Rhinolophus ferrumequinum: one gene and its partners. The protein of the gene in region 1 purifies or fractionates together with the protein of each later gene. This does not show direct contact. Links are inferred from orthologs where the notes say so. Each region holds a gene or a part of one and is shown in the gene's direction. Other genes may lie near its edges. The genes, in order: IKBKB, SRC, FKBP5 and RIPK1.

The links.
Region 2: the proteins of IKBKB (region 1) and SRC purify together in Homo sapiens (affinity purification with western blotting; 3 studies listed by BioGRID and IntAct, with this or other methods). This does not show direct contact. The link is inferred for Rhinolophus ferrumequinum from reciprocal best matches to the Homo sapiens genes IKBKB and SRC.
Region 3: the proteins of IKBKB (region 1) and FKBP5 purify together in Homo sapiens (affinity purification with mass spectrometry; 3 studies listed by BioGRID and IntAct, with this or other methods). This does not show direct contact. The link is inferred for Rhinolophus ferrumequinum from reciprocal best matches to the Homo sapiens genes IKBKB and FKBP5.
Region 4: the proteins of IKBKB (region 1) and RIPK1 fractionate together in Homo sapiens (co-fractionation; 3 studies listed by BioGRID, with this or other methods). This does not show direct contact. The link is inferred for Rhinolophus ferrumequinum from reciprocal best matches to the Homo sapiens genes IKBKB and RIPK1.

What each region holds. Positions count from the first base shown.
Region 1 is NC_046287.1:58,290,582-58,298,104, reverse strand, and holds the start of IKBKB (inhibitor of nuclear factor kappa-B kinase subunit beta), read left to right. Parts: upstream 1-4,505; 5' UTR 4,506-4,642; intron 4,643-5,302; 5' UTR 5,303-5,320; coding exon 5,321-5,425; intron 5,426-7,523.
Region 2 is NC_046306.1:18,599,363-18,606,482, reverse strand, and holds the start of SRC (proto-oncogene tyrosine-protein kinase Src), read left to right. Parts: upstream 1-4,111; 5' UTR 4,112-4,295; intron 4,296-7,120. UniProt on the Homo sapiens protein: Non-receptor protein tyrosine kinase which is activated following engagement of many different classes of cellular receptors including immune response receptors, integrins and other adhesion receptors, receptor protein tyrosine kinases, G protein-coupled receptors as well as cytokine receptors.
Region 3 is NC_046286.1:5,717,688-5,725,350, reverse strand, and holds the start of FKBP5 (peptidyl-prolyl cis-trans isomerase FKBP5), read left to right. Parts: upstream 1-4,645; 5' UTR 4,646-4,776; intron 4,777-5,150; 5' UTR 5,151-5,306; exon of another isoform or gene 5,307-5,372; intron 5,373-5,526; exon of another isoform or gene 5,527-5,549; intron 5,550-7,663. UniProt on the Homo sapiens protein: Immunophilin protein with PPIase and co-chaperone activities. Component of unligated steroid receptors heterocomplexes through interaction with heat-shock protein 90 (HSP90).
Region 4 is NC_046292.1:90,729,970-90,737,296, reverse strand, and holds the start of RIPK1 (receptor-interacting serine/threonine-protein kinase 1), read left to right. Parts: upstream 1-4,314; 5' UTR 4,315-5,185; exon of another isoform or gene 5,186-5,198; intron 5,199-5,390; exon of another isoform or gene 5,391-6,312; intron 6,313-7,327. UniProt on the Homo sapiens protein: Serine-threonine kinase which is a key regulator of TNF-mediated apoptosis, necroptosis and inflammatory pathways.

The sequences.
Region 1 (7,523 bases):
CAGTGTAAATGCTAAATCTTTGTGGCCAGGCTAGTTTGCAATGGCTCTGGCCAACCTCAACACTGGGCGTCTCACCTACAACGTGGGGGCTGCTGGCCCTGCCCAGCAGGACGTCCTGCTCCTTCTTGCCCCACAGCCCCCAGCACAGGAGAAGAGAGTAGAAGCAAAGAAAGAAGAATGTGAGGGGTCTGATGATGACATGGGCTTTGGCCTTTTTCACTAACCCTCTTTTGTAACATGTTCAATAAAAAGCTGAACTCAAAAAAGTAGTGATAAGCGCTCTGAGGGACTAGAACAGAGTGTGGTGACAAAATAGCCAGTTGTGGTGGAGAAGAGGACCTATTTTGAAAGGGCGGTTAAGGATTTAGCAAAAACAGGAGCTCAGAATCAGAGGTAACTAAAAAACATACCACCCACCTCACTCACCATCACACATCACCATCTCTTGCATCAAATTCCTGAAGAGATGTGAAAGGTGAAAGTGCACTGGGCCTTTCACTGTAAGTGGGGAGGGTTTGAGCCCAGTCACTGGGATCACAAAGAACAGGGATCTCAGCTGACTTCTGGATTACTGCTTTTAAAAAATAACAGCATTAATAACTACTATTCAAAGAGGGCTCTGTACTAGGCATTTTATGTACATAATCTCACTTAAACCCTATAATCATGAGGAGTAGGTTTTAGTAGATCCCATTTTACAGATGAGAAAACTGAGGCTTGGGGAGATTTAGTAAACTGCCAGAGCTTACAGAGCCAAGAAAACAGAGCCAGGATTAGAACCCATGTCTTTCAGACTCCAGGGACCACTATATCCAAGAGCTAAAGAGTGCAGTTATCCCCAGTCTTTGTAATTCACTCATTCGTTCATTCATTCATGAAAATTTTTTCTTTTGTTTTTTAAATTTATTTTCTAGTTACAGTTGACATGCAGTATTATATTGGTTTCAGGTGTACAAAATAATGATTAGACATTTATATACCTTGTGAAATGATCATCCAATTAGTACCCATTTGACACCATACATAGTTAATACAATATTACTGACTATAGTCCCTCATCCAGGAAGTGTTTATTGAATACCTTTGATGTACCAGGCACTAGAAATGCAACAGTGAACAAAATCCCTGCTTCCATGGACCAAAGTAGCAGCTCAGAACTGATGTGAGCTAAGAAACATACCTTCCAGGTGATATAAACATATACACCCAGCGCATATCTGTGGTCTTCCTGCCTCCACTGCCAAGGAATGGGCAGCTGTCCTTTAGTGACTTCTTCCACTTTAATTTGAATTTACTAGAAGAAAAACCTCTGTGTGTAAACATGAAGAGAGTGTGCAAGCTATCATTCCTCCCTCAAACTATCATTCTTCTGGGGAGAATCCTCAGGGCCCCAAATCCTCAGCTTTCAGTGTTTTATCCAAGGTTTAAGGCACGATGGCCTGGCTGGCCCTGTTCCTCTAAAGACTCACCATTGGCAGGTCTCATTCACAGAGATAGAAGTTAGCTGCCTTTTCTTTCCTTACTCTTCTGCAGCCAGCTCTGCACTGAGTCCTGAAGGATCTGGGGCCAAGTTCATTCTCACCATCAGTCTCCACCAGCTCAACTCCACCTTCTACTCCTCCCAACTCCCCTAGAAGAAAAGTGGATTTCTTCATGTCTTCCAACTAAACGAGTTTTCCAACTTTTCTGGCAGAAGAATTTTTGTTTGTTGAAGGAGCAAGTCCTAACTTGCAAAGTCCTCTTTCTGCAGGGCTGGGATAAAATAAACTTGGAAGAATAATAAAAGAGTTGCTGAAGTAACTGAACTAGAGCTGCCTCTGGGTGCTGGGGTGCTGAAGAAATCCTCCTTATCCTGAGTGGTCTGTTAAATTGCTTTCTAATCTTTTAAGTTGGCTTCTCTTACTATGAGTCAGCTCCCAGATTGTTCTGGAAACAAGCCTTTTCTCACTCAGAGGAACTCAGTGCTGCTTTGACTGGCTGCTAATAGGTGAGAGAGCAGTTTTCTCAAATGATGACACAAAAAGGCTAAGTAAGAGGATAGTTATCTTTGACTTACCCTGGGAAAAAGATTTTATTTTAAAAGGAACCATTTAGAAACTTTATCCTTACCACTAATACCATACTGCCTCTACAGCAGAACTAGTTATCACTGGTTTTTTATTACCTGATCCTTATCTCTCATCATTTGTTGGCTTTCTGTGAGTCTTATGGCCCCAGTAAGATTCCAGGTGCCTCTGAAAAGAGTTATATTGCTTGGATCCCCTGAGTCAGCAGTACCCAGGGCTCTATGAGGCACTCGCACTGCTTCATATTTCTTGATTACCCTATAGTTACTGCTAAGTAACACACTCAGCCTCAAAACAGGAAGAAAAAGGAATAAACATTTTTTTGTAAACAGTCCGCTCACATCTCTGGAGAAGGATAGAGACCAGAGGTGTAGACAGTAGACATGTTTTATCTGGAAGGAAAACAGGGCTTAAGCTGATTAATATCTTGGGACATGATAAAACCCAGTGACCCTTTCCTGAGCCATCATTTTTTTAAAATCTAGTAATATATGACTTATCAGAGAGATTTATGTTTAGTTGAAACACAAGTTACTTTGAGCTGAGCAAATGAGAACTCTTAAATTATAGCAGTACAGAGTACGCCTATGGCCTATCTGTGGATATTTAGCTAAGTTTCTCAGAGACAGTGATTTTCAGAGGTGAAAGGATTAAAATGAAATCTTTTATGATGTCATATAGGAGATAGACTCTACATAGGGACCGGCACATATTGGAGCTCAATAAATAGGTTTTATTTTAAAAATGTATTTATTAAACAAACTCTTATGTTGCACTTAGAATATGTCAGGCACTATTTTAAGTGTTTTACAACTATTTACTCATGTTCCTTTCTCTTCCTGCTTTGAGGCTGAGTGAGTGTGCTGTTTAGCAGAGACCATAGGGTAAATTGAGAAATCCTGGGCAGGCCTCAGTGCCTAGGGTGGCACTGGGCACTGCTGGTCGATCTGTTTGGGGTGACATAATTCCTGAGAGTTAATTAACTTCAGCCTCTGGGCTCTGTTCAGGCAAGAGTGTCCTGTGTGTCAAGCATGGCTCTGCCATGACCTCATCTGTCCTTCACAACAACACTGCTGGCGCCTCCTTTCTCTGACGCGTGTGCCCTCCTATATTTCTGTTGCTTTTAGGCTGAACCAAATGAAATCGCTGACGTTTGATGCTGATGTTTTGACTGCTTTTGTCTTATTAAAAAAATGACTCAAAAAAAATGTCTTAAAAATATTTCATGTAACTCAATCTAATATTGCCTACAGTTTAACAAAGAGAAATGGAGGCCTGGAGTGGTTAAGTAACTGGCCCTAGTTTCTTAGAGGTCGTCAGTAATAGTAGTATCTGGCTTCCAAATCCAGTTGGCCTCCTTCTGAACTTCTTAGTAAGCTACTATTAATCAAATTCTAAGAGTGTGGGCCCAAGAACCGTTGCTTGGGGTTTGACTATCAGATCATCCACTTACTAGCCTGTGATTTTGCGATAAAGACTTTTCCTCTCCGTGCGTGCTTCAGTTTTCTTATGTGTAAAATGGAGACAATAATGATAATGCAGTATTGTCCAATTGGTAGGGTTGCCTTGAGGACTGAATGAGGAAATTCAAGTACATAGTTTAGACAGTGCATGGCACTTAGTAAGCTCTATAAAAGTAGCTATTATCATTTCAGGTTCCCTATAATACTTTTTCCTGCTTGAGTAAATATACCAACATACACACACAACTCCTTTGTCTTTTAACATAATGCCACAGATCTGAGAAGCTATTTATTATAAAAGACCTTATTCCAACGCCGAGTAGGTAGGAGATGAACAATAAACCTCAGGGCTGAGAGCCTCTCTCAATTTTTCTGCATCACTGGGGCTGACACGGGCAGTTTAGTGTTGCACTACTAGGTTTCGCCCCCACCCCTTTTTCTTTATTTTCTTAGGGGGGGAGAGGGAGCTGTCACTTCTAAGGAGTAAAGTTGTGATTTATCATTCTTGATGCTGAGCCAAAGAACCTCCAGACCAGGGGAGCACAGCATGAGGCCAGGAGGCCAAAGCCAATTCTTGTAAACAGTCCTTAAATCAATCCTAGCGAGGGCGCGGGAAATTCCACCTAGTTAAAAATCTAGGAAGAGGGGTCAAGTTCACTACGGGAGGACTGGGGTGAGGAAATCCCCATCACCTCTGTCCTAGAAATCGCTTCAGGCCGGTTACTTAAAGAGAACTCTGGCGTATTAGGGTTTGTTTTCGGGCTGTTCTTTTATCTCCGGGGGCATAGCCTGCCTAATTTCGATTAGAATTGTCTAGAAGCCACATGCATCCATCCCGGAGTCACCTGAACGCGGGGTTCTCAGGGTACCGACCTGATTGCACCGCCACAGTCCGCGGGCACGGGGCGTGGCCTGGGCCAGCGGCCCTGTGGCCCCTTTAAGGGCCGGCCGCGGTCCACGTGGTCCGTGACGTCAGAGCAGGAAGTGTTTGAGGAAGTAGCGCTCGGCTGGCATGTTTAAGATTCCCGTATTTTAATGTCTGCGGGGTGTTACCAGAGCCCCCAGTTTTGTCGCCCCAGCCCCGGTTCCCCCGCCCCGTGTCCCCGCCGACAGGTGAGTCCTCGGGCGGGCGCGGGCCGCGGGGCGCCGGGGCCTCCGTGTCACCTGCCGACCCCTCGTCTCCTTCGCCCAGGCAGGCTCGTACCTCCCGCCTCCCTTGAGGCTCTTGAAAAAACTTCTGTCGAGTTTAAAAGTCGGGGGGTACTGGGCACGGAATTGTTTCTCTTGTGCCGTTGGAGTTGGGAGGCCCCACCAGCGGGGTGGTTCCAGGTGGATACTTGGAAGTGGGTGGCTTTGGGAGAGAGCTGTGATTCTTTCGGACTGTGTGAAGACACACGTGACCGTGGGACAACTCAGATAGATTCTCTCTCTGCCACCTTGGGCAGAATGGCAGGGCAGGTCTCCCCTTGCTGGAGTCCAGGCTGGAGAATCCCATTTCGAGGCAATGGGGCGTGGGGTATCATCTCCTTTGAGTGACTTCCCTCCCTGCTTGCTTACACAAGGTTGAGGTTGGGTTGGGAAAGATGAGAAAGCCAGAAGTTTGCTACCAAAACCAAAAAACAAACCAAACTGGTTTATGTACAAAATAAAAACCTCAGTTTCTCCTTTTTCTCTTCCACTGGAGCTCTATGGTATCGCTTACCTTCTCCATCTCATTGAATTCCATTTTTTCTTAACCATAACCTTTTGTCCCCCACCCCAAATTGCTTACAGAGTTAGCACAGCATCAGTATGAGCTGGTCACCTTCCTTGCCAACCCAGACATGTGGGGCCTGGGAAATGAAAGAACGGCTTGGAACAGGGGGATTTGGAAACGTCATCCGATGGCACAATCAGGTAGGGGCTCTGTGCTGATGGGAAGAGCCATGGGCCGCGCGGGTGGGGCGGGGAAGACAGGCTCTCCCCACCCCACCATTGCCTCTGCCTACCCCACAATGTGCAGTGTGCTGGCTGGGTGAATGGGTCTCACCTTTGGTCATGCGCTTCTTGGGAGAGAATGAGAAGGGGGAGCAGTGAAGGGGATTCAGGGCTGCTAAGCTGACTCTAGCTTAGTGGTCTCCGAGCTTTATTGATTATGCCACCTATTAAATAGTAAAAAAAATGTTCAGCTTCCAGCCTCAATTATATATATTTTAAGTTATGTATCTATGCTAACATTAGACTATCATGTACTAGTGTATTGTGTACTAATATATCACATGTTATAAAACATACAAAAATAGAAAAATTTAAAGGATGAGGGTAATGAAATATTTTTAAATGTTTAAAAAAATTTGTTTTACATTTTAAATATTTGCCAATTATGATGTCTTCCCAGTATTGTTTGCAATACTTCACAACACAAAATACACAGATACACGTGAAAGTGAGGATTATTCTTGAGGATATCGTATTTAATACAGATGAAAATCCGTATTTAAAATAATTTTTATAATTTTGAATTATTTGCACTGGTTTCTTTTTAGATCTGATTGGAGCCTCGTTGTTTTTACTCCTTACGTGTTAGACTTGAGTTTCTCACACTAGACGTGTTCTTCCATCTTCCTGTTTGCTTGTGCAGGTGTTACACATACTAAAATTCTCTGCAAGAATCTTTTTAAGCCACTTGTCCATTTTATGAGAGTTATTTTATTGGAATAATACAATCCATAATTTTACCTGAGTGGGGCACACATGACCTGCAATATGTCCCCATCGGCCCCTGTCCCCCTGCCTATGGAACGCCCATTTTCCTCAGGATACCTCGAGTACCAGAAGAGGCAAGTGACCTTCTGACAAATGACCTGAGGAGAGTGCCATACAGTTAATATCAGAAAAGCTTAGTTTCTTTTTAAGTCTTTGTGGATTGCAGTCTTGGATACCCTTGGGGTGCACATACCCAATTTGGAGACCACTGCTCTAGGGAACCCTCACTCACCAAAGAGCCAAAATTTGCTTCCTGACTCAAAACTCAGACCTACCGAAGTCCTTGAGGAAAGGCACCTGTTTGTTAGTTAAGAGCTGCTTAGCACCTTTTTGGACTGAAAGAATGGCAAATTGCACGCCATCCCGGGAATTTGACTGCGGTGAGCAGGGAGGGTCATCAAGGCTACTGGCCAGCCCGCACTGTACTCTGCCCTCCAGTAACATTCTCACACCCAACTGGTAGACTGGGGTTCCAGCAAACCTATACCTGGCGTACGGGGGCCTTAGAAACACCATTGGCTCAGAGTTATCCTGGTCAGAGTATAGCCAGGGGCCTAGCATTGCAACAGAAGAGGCAGATCATTCATTCCACAGCTCCACATATACCTGGGCTCGGCTGCTTCTAAGCAGGCAAGGGCTTCTAGAGTCCTGACCATGGCTAACTTCTTGCTGCAGCTGAACTAGAGCCATCCTGGTTTCCTTCCAAAAGAATTCTGTCCAAATGTGCCATCTCCTTGTCTGTCATCTTTAGTTCATAATGGCTGCCACCTGCCCTCTGGGTTTGGAAAACCATTGTCGGGTAGAATTCATTTCTGGCTGTATAGATTGGCCTAAGAATGTGTGTGTGTGTGTGTGTGTGTGTGTGTGTGTGTGTGTGTGTGGATTACTCTTCTAGAATTACTCATTTCAAGTTCCTTTCCTTGTTCAAAACTTTAAACTTATTTTTAAAAAGCCAAATGCCAAATTCCTCATCCTGCCGTTGGAGGCCCGTCAGAGTCTGGCCTCCTCCTATCTTTCTAGCATTGGCGCCCCGTGTTGGCTCCCAACAGGTGTGTCGGCTGAGCCCTCTCTTGGACAAGCCTCTCTTTCCTGGACAGCTTTATCTAAATTCTACCCATTCCTCTGGGATCAGCTCTCGACCATCTCATCCATAAACCTGTCATGACTCCTTCATTCCGTGGGAATTAGTTCCTCCATTGAATGCCTTGAGCTCCACTCATTTGGCGTGCCTCACATAATGCCTCTTTGT
Region 2 (7,120 bases), on another chromosome or scaffold:
TTGGTCCAGTTTGGCCTCGTTCCCTGGAACCCAGGTATGTGCTCACATACACATCCAACATAGGGTCCTCAGCTGTGGCTGCCATCAGTGTAGAGGCGTCCAGACTGCACCTCCCTCCTCCTGTATCTCCCTCCTGAAACTCAGTGACAGCACATCTCCCCAGGCCCTTCTCTGCTCATAACCCTCCATGGCTCCCCACTGCCTACAGCATTTAAGGATCTTCAGGGCACACCCTTGCCACCCTTCCCATCGTGCATTTGCTCATGCCGTTCCCTCTGCCTGGAACACCTTTGTCCCATTGTCGCCAGAAGCCATGTCTTCAGGCTTCTACCCTCTCCACAAACAGCCTCCTTTCTTCACCAGCCCTGCACTCCAACACACAAACTGTGTTAGGGGCCCGTTGTTTGGGCCCCTCAACCCCCACGCTTGCCCAGCCACTGTGCCTAGTGCACTGGTTATGCTTCCCTGCTCCCCCAGGCTGTGAGCAAGTCCAGGCAGAGACCAGACCTGGCTTGTTCGCTGCTGTATCCCTAGCACCTAGCACAGATGCTAGCACACAGTAGATACTCAGTAAATATTGACTGACCAGAGGAAGGAAGTGTAAGCCTTAGTCAGAGGCTAGAGGGTGGGGAGAATTCCAGGCAGAGGGACCAGCAAGTACAGAGGCCTCAGGACGTAATGAGCTGCTGTGATGGCGTGAAAGCAGGGAGGCAGGCTTGATAGAGGAGGGAAGGGGACCAGGGCCTGCAAGGGAGGCCTAATTGGCTATCAAGGGCCAGATCGGCTGGTGCACTTGACAAACTGGACATCTCTGTATAAACTGTAAAGTGCAGGGCTATGGGAGGTGGCAAGCTCACTCCTCAAGCTAGAGCCTGCACATTCTTTCACCCCATCCTTTAGGCCTGAGCCTGGTGGCTTTGAATAGACAACTCATAGCAAACCATTTGGGGAATGACAAGGCTGGTCTGGAATTTCCTGCTGAGTGCCAGTGTTGGGTCCAGCTTCCTGGTCACTGATCTGAGGGTGAGCTGGGCTTTGGGTGGGTGAGGCAAATAGGCCCCCATCAAACCAGAGCCACTAGGGCCCTGCGTGAGATGCAGGCAGCGCCCCTGATCCCATGTCATGGGAAAGCTCTTACCGAAGGGTCTGCTGCCACTTGTGTGAACCCAGGCCTCACTCCACACTTTCCATCCTGCTTTGACCCAGGTGGTGGGAAGGAGGGAAGAGGTTTCTAGAGACTGATGACAGTGTTCAACAGGTGCTCACCATTGCAAGCAATGTTGACATGAATATCCGTCTTCTGCTGGGTGCTTTGGTTTGGGAAATTGCCCTTTCTGGTGTTCCAGGCTTGGCCCAGGGCTGTGTATACCATTGTAGTCAATAAATATTTGCTGTCCATTAATGATGATGAATGATTTGTAGGTATTAAGCAATGAGTTGCTGTTTTACTAACAAGGTTTTAAGCAAAATAATGCACAAAGAGTCACTTATCCACTAGGCCAGGCCAGCAACTCTTGCATTTGCATGATCCTGGGAGTTGGTGGGGTCATTGTCCCATTTCACTGATGAGTAAACTGAGGCTCAGAGAGGGAAGGGTCACACAGTCAATGAATGAAAGCGTTGGAACTTGAACTCTTGTATGTGACTCCCTAGTCAGTATGTTCTCCCCAGCCAACTGGGCAGTGTCTGCTCTATGCTGGGCACAGGCCAGGCCGTAGTCCCTGCCCTTAGGGTGGGGGCAGACACACCCCAAATTGATGGGGTTTGTCGACAAGCATGTCCTGAAGGAGGTGATATTTACTCAGGAACTTGATGTTGGGAAGCTAGAGATATGGGGCGAGCATTCCTGGCAGGGGTTACAGCCTGAGCAAAGGCCCAGAGGGAGGATTAAAAATAATGAATATTTCCAAGGCTCAATAATAAAACCATTGTGTTGGCCACATCCTCCTGAAGTGTCTCCTGAGAATCTCAGCCACTGAGCCAAGCCCTTGGAGCCAGTGGTGGCTCCAGGTGGAGGGCTGCCTCTGTGCTTATAGAACCAAGACTTGTGGAAGTGGCCCCCGCTGCTCCAAGAGAGTATGGAGGGGAGTGAATGATAACATGGGCTCAGGCATACCGAGCTTACAGCACCTCATTTCATCCTCACACGAGTCTTCTGAGAGAAGCACTATCTGTAGCCCATTTTGTAGGCTGGCATACTGAGGCTTAGAGAAATGGCATGCTTAAGGTCACATATCCAAGAAGTGGCAGAGTTGGGATTTAAACACAGATCTGTAGGTCCAAAGTGTGCTTTTAAGCCCTTTGTCATCCCCGCTATAGGAGCCCAAGACTTTCAGTTGAACTCCTGGAGATGAATCTAGTGATGTGCTAGTAAATATTTAACGACCAGCTCTCTGGAAGGGAAAAAAAAAGCCTTAATTTGCAGTGTTTGCTGATTTCCAAGATGTACATGCTTCCACGGTGACTGATATCAACTTACCAAGGTGACGTCATTGATCTTGGAGTTGAAAAGACATGAACACAATTTGCTCTTGCAAATGGCAAGAGCCAGCTCCGTCACACCACTGGTTGAATATCCCACTCCTAGCCCAGTGTGGCCAGGAAAGACCTTCAGACACGTCTGAGGAGTGAATGAGGGCTGAGAAACCTGCTCCTCCAGCCAGGAGCCCGAACAGAATCCTGGGAAGCTGTGGTTAATCTGTAAGCCAGCCTTGCAAACCCGTGCCACCGTTTCACCCGCCCGGGATGGTTTCTGGGGCCGGCTCCCCTGCTGACTTGGAGCCCCATCTCCTCAAGTCTTGGTTTTACCACCCTACCATTTGGTGGGCACAACCTTAGTCAATCCTCACCCTTGTCAGTTTTAACCTCCCTAGGAGTCCTCTGGGACCATGTGCATTCCTGTGACTTGGATAAGGTGCAATAGGTGGGCAACTAGCCTAGATTTGAACCCAGATCAGTCTGGCTCAAGGCCTTGCTGGTCTCTTGGATGCTATTGTGTTCTCTGAGGACTTTGCCTCCCATATTCTAGGCTTCCCCGTGCAGCTTCTCTCAGGAGAAGTCTAGGCCAGGTGCCTTTTAACCTGGCTGGCCCTTAGTTTCCCAGGGGTGAAATGGGGGAACTTTCAGAGAAGGTAAGTGGAGGCAGGTGGTAGTATTTAAGGCTGGCTTCGGGCCCATCTTCCCCGGGGTCATGATTCCAGGACGACAGGTGAAGAGCCAAGGTTTGGGGTGCTCTAATAGGGCAGCTCTGGAGCCTGGGCCAGGAGGTGGTGGGAGGAAGGTGGGGTCAGATTGTGGTGGGGGCAGGCTTCGTGGCTAAACCAGCATTTTCTCAATGTCTGCTTTCTCTGCTATATTCCCTGTCCCCAGCATCCGGATGTACTTTGCCTCTTTATTTACTTAAAAGGGCAATTGTCGGTAAAAACCCGCTTTAGCCCCCTACTCAGTAAGAATATCCAGAACTCGATGGGCTGCCTTAGTTACTTTTTAAAAAGCACATTGAAATGAACACGTATCTATTAAAATAAGTGTTCTCCTCCTCACACTGTCCCTCAGGCCCCAGGCCCCACTTTGGGAAACAGGTCAGGACCAGAGTCCGAAGATAAGATTCTTGTAGGTGACCCCCTTCTCTGTGTCTCAGTTTCCTCATCTGTAAAATGGAAATCATCATCCCCCAGCCTGGCTGGTTGCTAGGAGTGGAGCCTAAAGTCTACCCCATCCACTTAGCATGGCGCCTTGCAAGGAGTGAGCGCTCCATTAGTGCTGATATTATTATTATTATTATAACTCATACTTATAGGAGAGGTGGATTTAGGGTAGATAGGGTGGGTAGGTTGGGGGTAGTTAGGAAGGGCATTTTGGCATGAGGGTGGATGGGGTCTTCCAGGGTGGGGCGTCCTCACGGGGCGGGGTGGGGGCGGGGCTCCTGTGTCCGGGGCCTCCACTCCCCAACCCTCTGCCTCATCTGGACCCGTGGGGTCGCGCATGGGTATCTCCAGAGTCACCGGCGGGGAATCTGTCCCCGCGCGCTTCCTCCTTCCTCCTCCTCCCGGCGGCTTGCCGGGCCCCTCCTCCCTGCTCGCGCTCTCCCTCCCTCCTCTTCCCCTCCCCTGGTCGCCGCCTCCTCCTCCTCCTCCTCCTCCCTTTCTCTCTCGATCTGTCTCTCCCGGCCCGGAATCCATTCCGGCCTGGGAGCCGGAGCGGCCTGGCCGCCGTCTGCCCGACCCCCTGGCCGTCCTGCGGTCTGCCCTCTGGTGCGTCTGTCTGCTGGTGCGCCCGCCTGCCCGCCGGCCCAGGTGAGCTCCCCCGCCCCCCACGCCCCTCCGCGGCCCCCAGGTCCCGGCCGGTGTGGGGGATCCCCCGCCCGGGGACCACCCTGGCGTCGGATCGCCTGGCCACAGGGACTCCAGTCCACCCCCCAACCCCCACACCCCCCGGCGGAGCCCCGATCCCGGAGCGGTGGGCGGGCGCACGGGGATTTGCCCAGCGCGGCCTTTTGTTGTGATGCTAAGGGGGAGGGGGCTGGGTGGGGTGGGGGACGCGGGGTCCTGTCCGCGCGGGGACCTCCTCCGGCTCATCCTCCTCCTACGAGCCCCCTGAGATCAGTGAGCCGGGCCGGAGCCCCCAGGCCGGGTGTAGGCCAAATCTGAAATCTGAGCCAGTCGGCGCCACCTCCACCCGAGGCAGCTCGGCCTGGAGCCCCCGGCCTGGGAGGGGAGGTGGAAAGGGGTCCGACAGGGTGGGCCTGGGAGCACCGGGCCCAGAACATCCAGCCTGGCCCCAGGACTTATCTGTCCTCGTGTGGCTTTGGGTAGGGCCTGGTGCCACCGGGCTAGAACGGACTGGGCCAGACTATGCTTGCTCCCTCCTGTCCGTCCACAGCCCCCAGGCTCCCCCCTGGTCAGGCCCAGCAGCCTGCCTGCTCAGAAGTTGGCAAAAGTTTTGGGTTTTCGCCACCAGGCTTGGTCCATCTGCCTGCCTGGGCTGGTGTTGGGGTGGGTTTGAGTCTCAACAGGGCTACCACTTGCCCTGCTGTGTGTCCTCAGACAACTGCCTGCCCTCTCTGAGCTGGGGGTCTTTATCAGTGGCAGGTGGGCCTAGCTGGAATTGCTGGGCTGGTGGAAGGATGGGGGTGAACAAAAGGAGTGAGCCTCAGTTCAGTGTCTGGGGCCTTCAGGCCAACTTGCGCGTGACAGAGCGTGTGTGTGCCTGGGTGAGGCTTCCTGAGCTTCAGGGACTCTGTACAGTTGGGGCAGTCGTCCCTGAGTGACCTGGGGTGAGTCCAGGCTCAGCCACCGTGAGCTGAGACCAGCCTTGGTTTTACGAATGGGCCATGCTGGTCCTGTGGCTGACCCTCTTCTCAACCTCCTGACTGGGGAGACAAGACACATTGGCTTCTCATCTCACTGGGTGACCTGGGCCAAGGGACTATCCTCTGAGTCCCCATATGTGGAATGAGAATCCTCAGGGGAAGAATCTATGTGTTTCTGCATGTAGGGGCTTGGCTTGTTGTAGGTGCTTAATAAGTGAGTACTTCACTGGATAAATTGTCTAAACTGGGTGGGAGGTGAGGTTGCTGGCCCCAGTGGGGCTTATCTCCAGAAGAGGATGAATTGGTGTCAGAAAAGCTGCTTCATAACTCCTTGAAAAAGAAACAGCTCCAGTGCAATCCTGCCACCCGGCAGCTGTGTGACCTTAGGCAACTCACTGCTCGTTCTGGCCTCAGTTTTAAGTATAAAATGGGCCAACGAGAATGATAGCTGCTAACGTCTACAGAGCATCTCCTGTGAGGGAGAGACTCTTGCTTATCCTCATTTGGTTGATGGAGAAACTGAGGTGTAGCGAGGGCAAGTGACTTGACCAAGGCCACAGAGTTGGAAGCTGGAATGAAAACCACCTAGACCTCAGAGACTCCACTCCGGTTGCCCTTGCAGCCCTCCAGTGTTGTGGGGGCAGGGGTTTCCCAGTATGGGACCAGGCATACCGCGGTGTCGGAAAAGACTACACTGATGAGTGAATGCGTGGAAGCCACGAGGCCTTTTTGGTGATGTGGTGTTCCTTAGTGATGTGATTTTTCCACCCAGGGCAATGATTTATAGTGTGTCACCTCTCTCAGCTGACCGCCTGCCCAGGCCCTCCTGCGTGGTCCCTGGGTCTTTGCTCCTGAAGGTGTCCCTGCCCAGAGTGCCTTTTCCTCTAGGAGCTGCTTATCTGCTCTTGTCCTTGAAGGCTTAGCTTAAGGCCCACCTCTCCCAGGAAGGCCCCCCAGCTCTCTCCTGTCCTCTACTCTGTTCTTGGAGCATGAATTATCCCTAGTTCACAACCAGTTCCTGCTTTTGCTTCTTCCCTGATTGTGACCTGGGGTGGGGTTGGGGGGGTGGTTGTCTGGCTTTCCCAAACCCCAGGAGCCAGGGAGGAGATGGCTCAGAGGCCTGCTGACAGACTCCGCCCCGTGGTCCTCACTTGACCCCGTTTTCCCAAACCCGCCTCAATAAAGCATTCATGACCCCGTATTGGGCACCTACTATGTATGTGCTAGGAGCTTTGGACTCAGGCTGAGCAGTGTGGTGATGGGGTTAGCAGTTGGAGGGAGGCATCGGGAAGCTTCCAGGAGGTGGTGCTGAGGGCAGCAGCAGTTCACTTAACAAAGAAGGGTATAGGGTGCTCTTTCTTCTCTTCTGCTCAGACACTTCCCAGGGTCCCTGGGGTTGTGGGGAGTGGTCAGCCTGAGTAGGCCCTTGCTGGCGAATTGTGAACAGGTCCCTGGCCTCCCAGAAATTTGAGTCTAGAGGGTGAGCCAAATAGCAAACAAATTGTCAAATAAATGAATATATCATCATAGATGTGATAAGGGCTCAAAGAAAGGTGTGGGATACAGAGGAATCTTAAAGGAAGCGAGTAGGAGATGGCCAGGCATGGAGCTAGGGGAAGGGCTTGCCAGGCAGAGGGAACTACATGTGCAAAGGCCCTGAGGTGGGGGAGTGTATGCTTTTGTGGAGAAACAAAGGGAAAGCCTGTGAGTCTGGAGCACAGAGAATTAGGAGGATTGGGTGAGAGGTGAAACGAGGGGTACTAGCAGTAGGGCTTGACCATGTGGGGCCGTGTGAGCTTTGTGGAGGAG
Region 3 (7,663 bases), on another chromosome or scaffold:
GATTATTTTCACCTTTTAGCTATTATAAATAATGATATATACATTGGTGTACAGGTATCTGTTTAAATCCCTGTTTTCAGTTCTTTTGGGTATATGCCTAGGAGTGGAATTGCTGGACCATATGGTAATTCGGCGTTTAAGATTATGGGAAGTGCCATTTTCCACGGAGGCTGTAATATTTTACATTCCCACCAGCAGTGCACAAGGGTTCCAGTTTTCCTACATTACTCACCAACACTTAGTACCCTTGTCAAAAATCAGTTCACCAAAGATATGTAGGTTTATTCCTGGATTCTCAATTCTATTTCTTTAATCTATATGTCTATCCTTGTGCTAGTACCAAGTGTTGATTTCTTTGAGTAAGTTTTGAAATCAGGAAATGCAAATCCTCCTCCTTCTTTTCTTAAATATTGTTTTGGCTATTCTGGGTCTCTTGACATTCCATGTGAATTTTAGAATCAGCTTGTTGACTTTTATAAAGAAGTCAGCTGGGACTCTGATGGAATTGCATTCAATCTGTAGATCAATTTGGAGAGTATTGCCATCTTAACAATGTTAAGTCTTTTGATGCATGAACCTGGGATGTTTTTCCAATTATTTAGGTCTTTTTAAATTTCAATAATGTTTTCAGAGTATAATTAAATTTATTCCTAAGTATTTTATTATTTTTGATGCTATTATAAATGACTTTTTTTCTTAATTTCATTTTTGGATTGTTCATCGAACTTGTACAGGAATACAGTTGATTTTTGTTGTTGCTCTTGAATCCTGCAACCTTGCTGAATTTGTTCATTAGTTCTAATTGTTTTCTAGTGCATGTGTTCCTTAGGATTTTCTACATACAAGATCATGTTATCTGTGAAGAGAAATGGTTTCACTTCTTTCTTTTTAATTTCTATTTCTTCCTAATTGCCCTGGCTAGAACCACCAGTACAATATTAAGAAGTGGCAACAGTGGACATCCTTGTCTTGTTCCTTATTTCCTGAGGAGAGGATCCAGTCTTTCACCATTAAGAATGATATTTGTTTTGGATTTTCGTAGATGCCCTTTATCAGGTTGAGGATGGCTGCCTGTTTTTGTAAATAAAGTTTTATTGGAACACAGCCATGCTATCCATTTACGTATTGTCTATGGCTGCTTTGTATTACAATGAGAGAGTTGAATAGTTGTGACAGAGAACATATGGCCTATAAGCCTAGAATATTTACCATCTGGCCCTTTAAGACAAAGTCTGCTGACATATGTTTTAAACTGCTAAATTTTGAGGTAGTTTGGTATGGAACAATATACAACTAAAATAATTCCCCATCTTTGACTGGGACCTCAAAGAACTGAAGCACTGAATAAGTGGGATCCATAAATAAACAAATGATCCCACAGACTATCGTCCACCTTCAAGTCATCTGGGAGACTCAGAAATCAGAAGTCCTGAAATTGGGTTAAGATGATCCTAGCTTACTGGTGTCCCCAGATGCCTGCAGAAATAAATGGAAATCCTTTCCAGAGGAAGATATTATCATCGTTGCTGCAAATGATTTTTTAAATACAAGGTCCAAAACATAACCAGGTACATGATGAGCTACAACGACATGAGGAAGAACCAGTAGTAAAAACTGACAATGGAAGCTGACCCACAGGGACTCCAGATTGGAATTAACAGGCACAGACCATAAAACAACTATTCTCACTATGCTTAAGGAGAGAAAAGCCAAGCTTGACCACTAAAGCAGGGCACTAAGAGATATAACAAGAGACATAGCAGATCTGAAAAAGAACAAAATAGAAATTTTAGAACTAAAAAAAAATAGAATAATCAAATTTAAAACCTTAATGGATAAGTTTAATAGGAGAATTTTTTTTTTTAAAGGCTGAAGAGAGAATTAGCGAACTGAAAAATAGTGAGAAGAAACTTTTAGAACAAAGCATGGGAGGACAAAACATAGAAAATACAGAAGAAAGGGATGTAGTGAGAAGGTCTAACATGTGTTTCAATAGTGAGAAGGTCTAACGTGTTTCAAAAGAGGAAAAGGTACAGAAACAGTATTTGAACATGAGAGTATAATAGCTGAGAATTTTTTCAAATTGATGAAAAACTATTCAAAAGGTGACAGGCAGCTGTGAAATGACAGATATCCACTCTATCACGAGTTCTGACTCTTAAAACAGTATATCTTTCATGTGCAGATCTGCCTTTGAAAGGATTCTGAAACCAACATGGAGGTAGCTTCGCAGCCAATGGAATAGGGCTCGGGTGAGCTGAGTTCAAGTACAAGCTATGCTACTTCCTAGCTGTGCCACCTGGAGAAGGTTGTTAAACTTCAGTTTTCTCAACTAATGAATGGGACTCGTACTACTGGCTACCCTACATTGCCATTGCGAGTATCAAGTGATACAGTACATATGAACAAACCTAGTGAATGCCAAGTGCTTTAAAAGTGAGCTGTGGTTTAAGCAGTATCGCAAGCATTGTCAGGGACATTAGCAGTGACAGGTAGGACTGGCTACATAATTTGCAGGTCCCAGCACAAAAGGAAAATGTAGGGCCCCTTGTTGAAAAATGATTAAGAAATTCGAGATGGTGACAGCAGAGCATTAAGCGAAGCCCAGGTCACATGCCCACAATGCCAGCCTTGGTGACAAACCCTGCAAAGAACTGCTCTGTGCCTTAGCAAAGGGCTGGTCAGCCCACACCCAGGTGTCTGCAGCCATTGACCACATTATCTTTGAATTCTGAAGAGCAAGAGCAATATTTAGGGAAATCGCAAGCACACATGTTTCCAAATGCTGAGGAGGGCAAGTGCAGTAACCGGAGTGGTTGTCTGAGAGTGGGTGGGGCCAGCCAGGCTGCCATTGCAACTGTGGAACTGACTGTTCCCCACAGACTCTAGCCTAGAAAAAAATAAAAAAGCCTGCAGCTGTATGTACAGGGCCTGCTGTTTGCTGCGGTGTGTTACAACACAGCCTGGCAGCCTCCCGGGCCTTTCTGTCTTCCTCCTAGAAGAGCCTGGTCCCAGAGCAGATGACATGGCCACACAGCCCTGCAGTTTTGCCCCCAGTGCTCTTTGCTGTTCCCTCAGTTACTAGGCTTTTCCAGATCTGTATTCTTTCTGTTCATGTTCATCTCCCCTCACCCACCCCAACCCCACTGGGAGTCCCTTTCCTTCGTCCACATTCCTCCATCTGGTAAACACAATCTTTCAAGACTCCATCTATGAAGACACAGATCTAGTCTCACCTCTTCAAGGAGGCCTTCCCTGCCTCTCCCAGGAAGAGCTGATTCCTCCCTCCTTGGAGCCTTCCATTGTGCCCTATGCGGGTATCTGTCACAATCCCTGTAACATGAGGAGCACTGACATGTACTGTGGATGTCACTGTCTCGTAGGCTTAATCCCTCAAGGGCTGGGACAATGTTTGCTCACCTATGCATGCCCTGTACATAGCACAGTGCTTAAAACCTGCTATTAGTAAGCATAGTAAATGCTTAACCTATTGGTGATAGTATGCAGAGTAGTTTTAATCACCATTGTCTTGCTGAAATGATGTATGAATAAATTGTTTCAGTGACTTTCCCAGGCATCGGGTAAAAAGGGAAACTTCTGGGCCCCGAGACAGGGCCCTTGCCCTTGAGGTTTCGGTGTTGGCTCTAATTGTCTTTCCTACAGGCACCACGTCTTGAAGGCAGGTCTAAATGACCAATGTGATGCAGAGCAGAGAGCAGATTTGGAGCTAGGAGACAGGGCTTTTAATCTGGCTATGAGACATTAGGTTTCCACAGGTAACTACCGTATGAAGTCCCATTGCTATGGGGCTCAAGGTTTCTGTTTCCTCAAAAAACGAGGGGGTTGATCTAGTTATTCTGCAAGGCCCAGGAATGTCTATGGGAGCAACTCAGAGGTGCCCATCTCCTTGGAGGGGCCTGGGACCCTCCTGAAGTTGAGTTTGCTCAGCAGGCCTATCTTTTGGGAGCTGGGTGGTGATAGAAAACACAAACATTTCTTAAGGTCCTTTGCTGTTTCAATCGCCTGGGATCTGTTTGAAAAGAAGAAAGCCATGGGAAAGCATAGTCTTCACAGTTACTGAGAGTCCAGACAGAAGTGCTATGTCTAAATTGGTTCTGGAAATGGGATTTTCCCAGTCCCAACTGGGCAACATTGACTTCCTGGGGTTGTTTCCTGGGGCTAACCCAGTCTGCTTGTCTGACACAACAGCCTGGCCTGTTCCTCTCCATCCTACCGGCAGGCCGGTTGGACAAATAGGAGAGCAGAGATTTCAGAGACTGTTCGGATGCGAAGTCAACTAGTTTGTTCAAGCATTACTTTCTCTGGAGGTAGTGGATGGTGTATGTGTGTTGGGGGTGGGCGTCGGTCAGTTTCCTCCAGCCCTTCCCTCCTGCCCCCACAAAGGGCTAGGGCCAGACACGTGGGCTGGCGTGAAGAGGCGGAGGTTACACTAAGGCGGAGGTGCAAATGGACGGGGGCGGGGCCTTATTTGCATGGACGGCGCGCGGCCACCAATCCGAACAAGCAGAGCAACAGCCCGCGCGCCTTTTGGGGGCGGATTGACAGCTCCAGGGCCCAATGGAAGGCGGGTCCTGCGGCAGGCAGGGGCGGGACGGTGCCGGGCGCTGCCCCGGGGATTCGGCCGGCTCGCGGGCGCTGCCAGTCTCGGGCTGCGGCGTCCGGTGCGCGGGCGGCCTGCTGGGCGGGCTGAGGGGCAAGCGGTGGTGCGGGTGAGGCAGAGAGAGAGACGGAACCGACGAGCAGCTGCTGCGACAGGTATCGGCGCCATGGCCGCAGGGATGGGGCGGGCAGCTGCGGTGCCCGGGGAGCCGAATCCCCTCCTTCGCGCTCCGGCCGCCGCCGTTCCACCTCCCCGCCCCCTCACGCGGCTCCCGAGCCCGGGAGCAGCTTGTCTGGGCGAGCGGGGCCCGAGAAGCCTTGAAGCCAGCGCGCCGAAGGCCCCCAGCCCCACTGCGGGGCCCCTTGCGCCACGCCACGCCGGGCGATGGGGCCGTTGCTCCCTCCGGGAGGCGCGGAGCCGGGCGGCAACGGGAGCCGCTCCCCTCCCCTCCGCGCTCCCCCTCGCGGAGACGAGGCTGGTCGCGCCTGCTCGTCCTCACCCGGCTTTTGTTTCCCGCCGGGGTTGACAGGTCCCGGCTTCGGCTCCCGTCAGCGGTCTCAGAATCACCCGAGGCCCGGCACCGGTGACCGCAGCCGCCCAGAGCTGGCGGCGCGTGCACCCCCGCCACGGGCGGGAGAGAAACTTCGCCTTTCCCGGCCTGGGCGGCGGGAGAAGTCGAGCAGGGGTGAGCCGTGCGCCGGGACGCCGAGGGCGCAATGGAGCCTCGCTCACCTGGTGGGGCCCGCGGAGGGTGAGGATAACGGAGTGTCCGGCTGCTGCGCTCCTTGCTTAGGTTTTCGCTGCCCGGGCGGTGGGTGCGGATGCGCGTTCACCGCCTTCACCTGCCGCCCTGGGACGAGTGACTGGGGACAGCATCCCCGCTCTCAGGCGCTCTTGGAGGGTGCCAGCGCAGCGCCCATTCTAACAGGTGATTAGTGCCGGCTGAAAGCCAGTTAAAAGTTGTTTGAGGGTTCCTTATTCATTCAGTTCGCTCCTGGGACGTTATAACGCTTTCTCCCCAATTGCTGTCTAAGAAGGTGTACTGCCGACTGTAGGAATCAAACTCAGTTGACTGTATAATCAAACTCAGTGTTGATTATAAAAGAAAAATTGGTGTGTGTGTGTCTGTGGCGGCGGGGGTGGGAGGACGGTCAGTGTAGAATGACCTCTTTCGATTGACGAGCCAGGAGGAACATTTTAGTCTCATTTTAAAAAATCGGTTTCTGTAGTGGTGGGAAAAGCATAGTAAGGTACAAGTTGTAAATGGAGAACGCAGAACTCTAGATAGCCTTCAGTATGGTTCAGGACAGCGTGTACGACGTTTGGCCGCCATTCAGTAAATTCTGCACGAAGCAGTTTGAGCTCGTGGTTTTGGATTTACTTTTCAGGAGTATGTTTTCCAGTGGAATAAGGCTTAGCATTGAATGGGAGCTTTCTTTGCCTCTCTGAGGGTAGATAGGAGTGTTTATTTTCATTGCCTTCCCATTTTGTTAGATTGTGGACAAGGGAAAAAAAGTTAAGGCAACATTTTGGTTATTTTTAATAGTCGATGGAGTTCCGTGCGGCCCCTCCACCCAAGGGTTTTTACTTCAGAAAATTATGCAGATTTTTCTCTTGCTGTTTGAATCAAAATTCAAGGATAGTCTTAAAACATTATTTTTGTGGGAAATTTTCACTTGTCATACTTTCACTTATTTTCTCTTTGTCTCTTTCCTAACTGACTTCCATTTAACAATCTGCAATTATGGTCCTGACCAATTTAGGGCATCTATAGAAAAATATATTTTAAAATAATATAATTATTTTTAAAAATATAAAATATATATTTTAAATTAGGGTTGTTAACATTCATTTGTGAGAAACACAATTTTACTCGATTGTTTTCTAATGTGACTTCTTTTATATTTGTCTTGGGTATGATTTATACATAATAGATTAAGTTTAACATCTTAAGAACAAAGTTACAATTTTGATTAATTATGCTACCTTATTAGTGTTTCATTGAATGATTTTACTTATTTCCCTAGCTAATTAGTAGCAATATTTAAAGCTGAACTCCAACCAAGAGGCTTGTTGTGACTTTGGGCTTAAACAACAACAAAAAAATCAAAGATGGTCTTTATAAAATGTTTTATTTCTCTAAAATAACAAGCTTATATGTTGTGTCTTTCATCTTAGTAAAACAAGTATGTTTCTGAATCTTTAATTTTTTTTTTTTTTTTTTAGTTTTTGGGACTTTGCGGTTGGTGTCTTTTTATTGTTCATTTTTTAATTTTTATAAAATTTGTTGGTGAAATTGGTTAGTAAAATTATATAGGTTTCAAGTATACATATCTATAGTACTTCATCTACCGTGTTTTCCCGAACATAAGACCTAGCCGGACAATCAGCTGTAATGCGTCTTTTGGAGCAAAAATTAATATAAGACCCTGTATTATATAAGACCCGGTATTGTATTATATTATACCCGGTTTTATAGTAAAATAAGACGGGGTCTTACTAATTTTTGCTCCAAAAGACGCATTACAGCTGATTGTCCGGCTAGGTCTTATGTTCGGGGAAACGGTATATATTGCATTGTATGTTCACCACCCAGAGTCAGTTCTCCTTCCATTACCATATATTTGACCCCCTTTTCCCTCTTTTACCACTACCCCTTGAATGTATTTTTTTAAACATAATTTTAACCAGTTCAACATAAAAAATTTAAAAAATAATGGATTGGGCAATTAATCTTAATTTTTCTGTTTTTTTTCTTGGATTGGAAAAGAATAGGTATCTTCGGTTATTTTTAGTTTCCTAAAGTTTTCTTAGCTTAGAAGGAATCAGTCTAGAGATGAAAGAACATCCTCTTTCTATCGCTGTAGAAGTTATTATTAAAAACTGAGGTGGCTTTTTGACCCTTAGGATAGATTGGTTGAATGGTGGCTTGTCTTCATGTAGGATGGGTTTTATTCTATATAAATAGTTGTAAGGAATCTTACAAGTCTAGAGCTCTCACTAGTCTAGTTATGGATGATTTATATAATTGCTCTTTAAAGT
Region 4 (7,327 bases), on another chromosome or scaffold:
AAGTTGTGGGTGCCAGACGTTTTAGGTTTTTTCTAGTTTCCTTTTTTTCTCTCTCCTCTGCTGTTTTTTTGTTTTTCTAAGAGCTCTTTCATACAGAGTTGATATCTTGTAGGTCTTTCCATTTAATCCACTGTTATTATTCTGGAACCCCTTTGATGTAGTGGTAATTTGTGAAGGAGGGAAAGCATTTTATAATCTTATGATTAAATCTCAGCCTTTCCATTTTAAGTGGACTGATTTTCCTTCTCCCAGATAGATAACACTCTGGTAAAGTTTTTTCCCTGGGAGAGCAAGTCTTTGATATGTTGAACTCTTGGGATGTATTTCAAAATGGTTTCTTCCCCCCTCCCACTTCCAAAAACATGAGAAGATTTTCACTGGTTCTTTACCTTGAGAATTTGGTGGGATTTCTGATGGTAAAATCCATGAAAGTGTATCCATCCCTGCCCCCAAGTCTGAGCCCTTAATAGTTTCTCACTCTCAAGCTAATCAACTCATTCCCCAGAAATTTACCAAAATTACCATTTAATTGTTTTACCAGTTCATTGTCCCAGCAGTTTCTGCTCCAGATATGGTGATATTAGTTGTGATTGCCCATATTGATCTGTCTACAGATTTCAAGGTAGACGTTTGCACTTTGACTTCAATTCTCTGTTGAGTCTAAACAGAGATTGGTTGATTTTCAGTTTGTTTACCTTTTTTCTTGTTGTAATTATAGGAGCAATAACTTCCATTTTGTTTACATATGGAATTGAAACTGGATGTGCCAATCAAGTTTTAGCAGAGGTGAAAAGGCAATTCAAAGGATAATCTTTACAAGAAACTGTTAGAACAATTGGATTATCTGTATTAATAAAAAAAAAAACTTGATCTAAATTAAACATCATGCTTTATACAAAAATTGCCTCAAAATAAGTCATACTTCTAAATGTAAAAAATAAAGCTATAAAATTTCTAGAAGAAAATATAGGAATAAACTTTATGACCTGGGCTGAGATAAAGAGTTTTTAGACATGACATCAAAAAAAAAAAATCTATAAAAGAAAAAAAAATTGATTTGAGGAGCATTAACATCTTAACATTGAGTCTTCCAGTCCAGAAAGAGGGAAAATCTGTTTATTTATTTAGGTCTTTTTTCACGTCTCTTGGCAGTATTTTGTTCTTTTTTTAGAGGTCCTACATATTTTTTACTGTATTAGTTGCAATGTTAATGCTATTGTAAATGCTGATGCTCTTCTAACTTCATCTTGTATTGCTTCTCGCTAGAAACAGAAATACAAATGATTTTTAATATCTATCTTGAATCCAATGACCTTACTAAAGTCACTTATTAATTTTAGGTTTGTTTTAAATTCCTTTGAATAGTCTACACACATAATTATGTCCTCTGAAAATAATGACAATTTTATTTTTTCCGTTTCAATATTTTTATGTTTTGATTTTCTTTTCTTGTTGCAATGGCCAGAGCTCCTGGTACAATTTTGAAGAGAAGTAATGATAGTGGACTTTCTTGTCTTGCTCCTAATTGCAAAGGTAAGTGCTTAGTATTTCATGGTTAAGTATAATGTTATCTATAGGTTAGTGTAAATATTCTTTATTTAATTAAGAAAATTCTATTCTTAGTTGTCTAAGAGTTTCTATCATGAACAAGTCTTGAATTTTTATCCATGCTTTTTCTCGAGTAGGTTATATGATGTTTTTTCTTCTGTAATGTGGTGAATTACTTTGATTTTCAAATGTTAAACTAACATTGCATGTATGGAATAAACCCTAGTTGGTCATGATGTATTATCCTGTTAGAGAGTCACTAGATTCAACTTGATAATATCTAATTTAGGATTGTTTGCCTCCATGTTAATGGGATATATTAAACTATAATTATCTTTTCTGGTGCTGTCCTTGTCAAATTTGGCTACCAAAGTTAAGGTGGTCATATTAAAAGCTTTTAGGAAGTTTTCTCTTTTTCTCTTGTCTAGAATAGTTTATGTAGGATTTGCATTATTTCATCTTTAAGAATAGTTTATGTAGTATTTATTACCAAGGAAGTCATTTGGGTGTGGAGTTTTCTTTGATTTTTACTGATGCATTCAATACAGGACTATTTCAGTGTTCTATTTCTTCTTCAATCATTTTTGACAAGTTGTATTTTTCAAGAAATTTCTCTAGTCCCTCTACAGTGACATAAAAGTTCGTTATGTCACACTGTTGTCATTATAACATTAATGACATAAAATTGTTAATAATTATCCCTTATTTTTTAATCCTTTTAAATTTTGTATAATTTTTGTTTCATTCTTGATAATATTGGTCTCTCTCTTTGTCAACAGGGTCAATCTTGCTGGGGGGTTATCACTTTTAATCTTTACAAATGGCCAACTTTTGTTCTTGGTTAATTCCTCTGTTGTATGATTTCTATTTCAATGATTTATTTTCTTAGATTTATTAGAAACTTACGATATTTTTGTTGAGTTTAATTTCCTGTTTTTGCAACTTGAGATGAGCATCCAAATAATTGATTTTCAACCTATCTTATAATATATGCATTACAAGCCAGAAATATCACTCTAAGAATGAAGTTGGCTTTATCTTAAAAAAAGTCATCCACATATTTATTATCATTTAGTTAAAAATATTTTCTTGGGACCGGCCCGGTGGCTCAGGCGGTTGGAGCGCCGTGCTCCTAACGCTGAAGGCTGCTGGTTCGATTCCCACATGGGCCAGTGGGCTCTCAACCACAAGGTTGCCAGTTCGATTCCTCTACTCCCGCAAGGGATGGTGGGCTGCACCCCCTGCAACTAACAATGGCAACTGGACCTGGAGCTGAGCTGCGCCCTCCACAACTAAGACTGAAAGGACAACTTGACTTGGAAAAAAAGTCCTGGAAGTCTTGTATCTAGTACCTGCTTGGCATATGGTAGTCAGAAATGTCTGCTAAATGAATAGGCCTCTTTCATTGTATACGTGTAATTTTATTGTTTACAGCAGTTTTAGTTTCACAGCAAAACTGAGTGGAAAGAGCAGAGTGTTCACACATATTCTACCCTCTCCCCAAAACAAAACAAAAAACACAGCCTCTTCCACCATTTTGCACCAGTGTGGTACCTTTGTTACAATTAACCAACTGACACATCATTATCAAGCAAAGTCTATAGTTTACATTTGGTTTCACTCTTTTGTACATTCATGGGTTTAACAAATGTATACTGTATTCACCATTATAGTATCACACAGAATAATTTCACTGCCCTAAAAAATCCAGTGCTCGACCTATTCCTGCATCCCACCACAAAAACCTGAGAACCACAGATTTTTTTTCACTGGTTCCATAATTTTGTCTTCTCTAGAATGTCAGTTAGAATCATATATTATGTACCTTTTTTCAGATTGCCTTCCTTCACTTAGAAATAAGCATTTAAGATTCCTCCATGTCTTTTTGTGGTTTGATAGCACATTTCTTTTTAGCACTGAATAATATTCCATTGTATGGGTGGACCACAAGTTTTTTGCCCATTCATCCACTGAAGGATAATATTGGTTGCATTCAAGTTTTGCCAATTAGAAATAAAAGTGCTATAAACATTTGCATGCAGGTTTCTGTATAGATGTAAGCTTTCAACTCATTTGGTGAATATCAAGACATGTGGTTGCTGGATCATATGGTAGACTGTTTTTAGCTTAAAAAATAAAACTGTCAAACTTTCTTCCAAAGTGGCTGTACCAATTTGCATTCACACCAACAATGAATGAGAATTCCTATTGTTCCACATCCTCACCAACATTTGATGTTGTCAATATTTTGGATTTTAGTCATTCTAACAGGTGTGTAACGTGGTACCTATTATTTTTTCAAATTTGCAATTCAATAATGACCTATAATGGTGAGCATATTTTCATATGCTTACTTGCCATCTGTATTGTCATGTCTATTAGATCTTTTGCCCATTTTCTACTTGGGTTGTTTCTTTTCTTAATTGTTGAGTTGTTTTCAATATACAGTTGACCTTTGAACAAGAGTTGGGGGTGTGGGGCGCCCACAACCTATGCAGTCCAAAATCTGGGTATAACTTAAGTCTGCCTTCCAAACATGAAAATACAGTTGAAACTTGAACAAGGCAGGTTTGAACCGCGTGGGTCCACTTAAACACAGATTTTTAAAATACCCCTGTATGTGGACCCGCGCAGTACAAAACCGCTTTTTAAGGGTCAAATGTATTTTGAATAATAGTCCTTTATCAGATATGTCTTTTTCTTTATCAGATATATATTTTGCAAATATTTTCTTCCAGTTTGTGGCTTCTCATTCTCTTGATTATATAATATATAATCACGCTGTGTATTATTTGCTTTTTAATACAGAACTGTATCAAGCTTTTCCCATTTTTCTTGAAGATTTCCCAATCATTTCCCAGCCATTTTAAAGGGCTGGAAAATAATAGCACATTTCTCCCTGCACAGCCCCAAAGAGCAGATATTATTATCCCCCCTTTACATGTGAAGAGAGGTAAGAGAATCGTAAATTTGCCTGAGGTTCAAGCGCTGCTTAACCTGCAGAGCCCAGAAGTCCCTGGGAGACCTACCCAGTGCTGTTTACTCAGCTAAGCGGCCTCTCCCTCAAGGCGGAGGTTTCTAGGACTAGGCATCATTACCTTTTCTTTGGCCTTCCAACTCTTTCAAATAAGTAGAGCAGGGATTCTTTGGCTGACAGATCTTGGGGACCGACGCCCCCACGGCCGCAGGGCGGGCGCCCTCCCCATCCTCCTCCCCGGCAGGAGGCGGAGCGAGCAGTCCACGCCCCTCCGCCGCCGGCGCTTACTCATTCGTCGCTCTGACGGCGGGGACAGCGGACAGGCCTCCCCGAGCGCAGGGGTCCTGGCTGGCCCTCACCTCCAAGGGCCAACCGCGCGGTCCCAGCGAGGGGAGGGAGTGCGAACCACTCGGCTGGACGCGCGCGGCGCGGCGGGGCCGACAGAGCCGGGCGTGGTGAGCGCGCGGCGGGGCGGCCACTCTGCGTCCCGGTCTCCCCAAGCCCGCTGAGCTCTGTACCCGGTGACCCGCCCCGCAGGACTCGGGCGTCCTCCCGCGGCGCGCCCCAGCGAGGTGGCGGCGAAGTCGGTGTCATTCCTGAAATTCCTACCGCTGCTTCTTTCCTCACTCAGGCCTGGGGAAGTTTGCCGCGGAAACGAAAGTAAATAACTCGGGTGCGTCTGCGCGGTAGCAGTGGCAGCGCCCGCCAGATTTGGGACTCTGTCTGCTTCTGGGCAGGCGGGCGGGGCTTCCTGACGGGGCGGGCTGTGGGCGGAGAGTGGGCCAGTTGGGTAGTGGGTGGGGCGCTTGGCATTCCCGGAAGTTGGTCTGTGAGTAAAGCTGTTGTGGGGATTGACCCGGGAGAGCACTTTCCAGGCTCTGGGCCTCACGTGGAAAGGTGTTGTCTTGGTTAGTAGATGGCCATCAGCTGTAATCAGATGGCCATCTGCCTTGGCTAGGTGTCCATTAGTTGTTACTGGTTAGCCCTTAGTCGTTAATACTACTGCCGTGGCTATGCTGGCAAGGGGGTTGCTTGGCAGAGAAGTGGATGGCAGGTTGCCGCTAGCCAGTGTGGTTAGCAAGCGGACTGTGGATTGCGGATCCTGTTGATCCTACTTCCTGTGTCTCCCCTGGCCGCCAGGGAGACAGGATTGCAGGAAGACCCTCTCATTGGGGTACTGGTGGATGTTTGCTTTTGTGTCTCTGTCAGCCGCCAGCGAGAATATAGTGGTATGACTCCCCTATCTATGGCTCCGTGGGTGTTCTGTTTTGGCCTCACCGTATCCTGCGTTCTTGTGTGGGGAGCGGGACCAGAGTCCCTGCATTATACCTGTCGTATTCCCGGAAATCGGGTGGTGGATCCAATTTCCCCTGCACCTGTTCGGGAGGACGAGGTGAGCGGATGCCCCGCAGCAATCTGGGTCTTGTACTCAGTTTTAAAATCCCAGATATCTCTCAGCCAAAGGAGCCCATCTTTATTTTGTTTTAAAGGAAATTAGGAGGACAGAAGAAAAGAGGAAATGTTACCCAGTCCTAGAAACCTCCACCAGAGTTCCGGGAAATCAGGTGCAGAATTGTTAACTGTCCAGGTCTCTGTCGCTCTCAGGCTTGCGGGAGGTTTCGGTGTAAATCCGTACTAGAGTGGAGAGACCTGACCTCAGGTCACTAGAACCGTGTGACGTAGGAACACACCTTTCGTTGTTATTATCTTTGTTGTTTTGGTAGGGGTGATGGGTTTCCATTGCTGTAGCTTTCCGGTACAATCATGGATGCCCTTGCCATAATAGGGTAAGTAGATGTCTCTAGTTGGGACTTCTTACCAACCTTTTGAAAGTACATTTTACTGTTGCATTTGAGGCCGTAGCGGGTTGCAAACAGTGAAAAGCATTAATGCGTAATCTTAGACGTGAACTGGCAAATGGAAAAGAAGGGTCTACAGCCGCATTGACAAAAGGGACAAATGTCGTAACGCGTGGAGGCCTCTTCCGTGGTTAGTGGCGTTTGCTTTTATGAAATGCTGCAGAATCTTTTCAGGGTTTAGAAGAGGATTAGCTACATCCTTCTCTCTTAAGCACTTGACAAAAGCCCACAGGAGTGGGTGTGTGTTCATTTCTTTGTGTCTTGCTGATGTTTTGTCTCTTCCTTGCTCAGAACTCTTGTTTATCTTGGACAAAGCCTGAGGCTGTTAAAATCAACCAACTTTGCAGAAGTTTTTTGGTCTTTAAACCACTACTATTAATTCTTCCCTAATTTACACTTGAAGAAATCAAAGCTCAGAGTGAACTTTGGAATATAGAGTGACTTAGTACTTGATTTGCATCTTGTAATCACCAGGTTGGTACAGTAGTAACGAAGATATTATGGTCAATTAGAAATGTACACCTGAAGCTGAAGCTGAACAATATTGAATGTTGACTACAATTTTATATATATATATGTATATATATATATATATATATATATATATATATGGTTACAAGAAGTGGAGTACAGCATTAGGAATAGAGACAGTGGAGATGTAATGGCTGTGTGTGACGTCAGAGGGGTAGTAGATGGGGGAAGAGGGGTTGTCACTGTGTGAGGGACATAAATGATAAATGTCTAACTATTAGATTGTTTTGTGCACCTTAAAGTAATAAAAAAGATGTTAAAAAAAAGAAATGTAGAAAACTGCCTTTTTCTAAACAGAAAATGAAGACTAAACTTGCTTCAAACAGAATTTAGAACTTATTATTACTGATAAAACAGCAGTAACAATTACTTTAATTTTCATTTTCCTCTATCTGCACTATATTGAGCACTG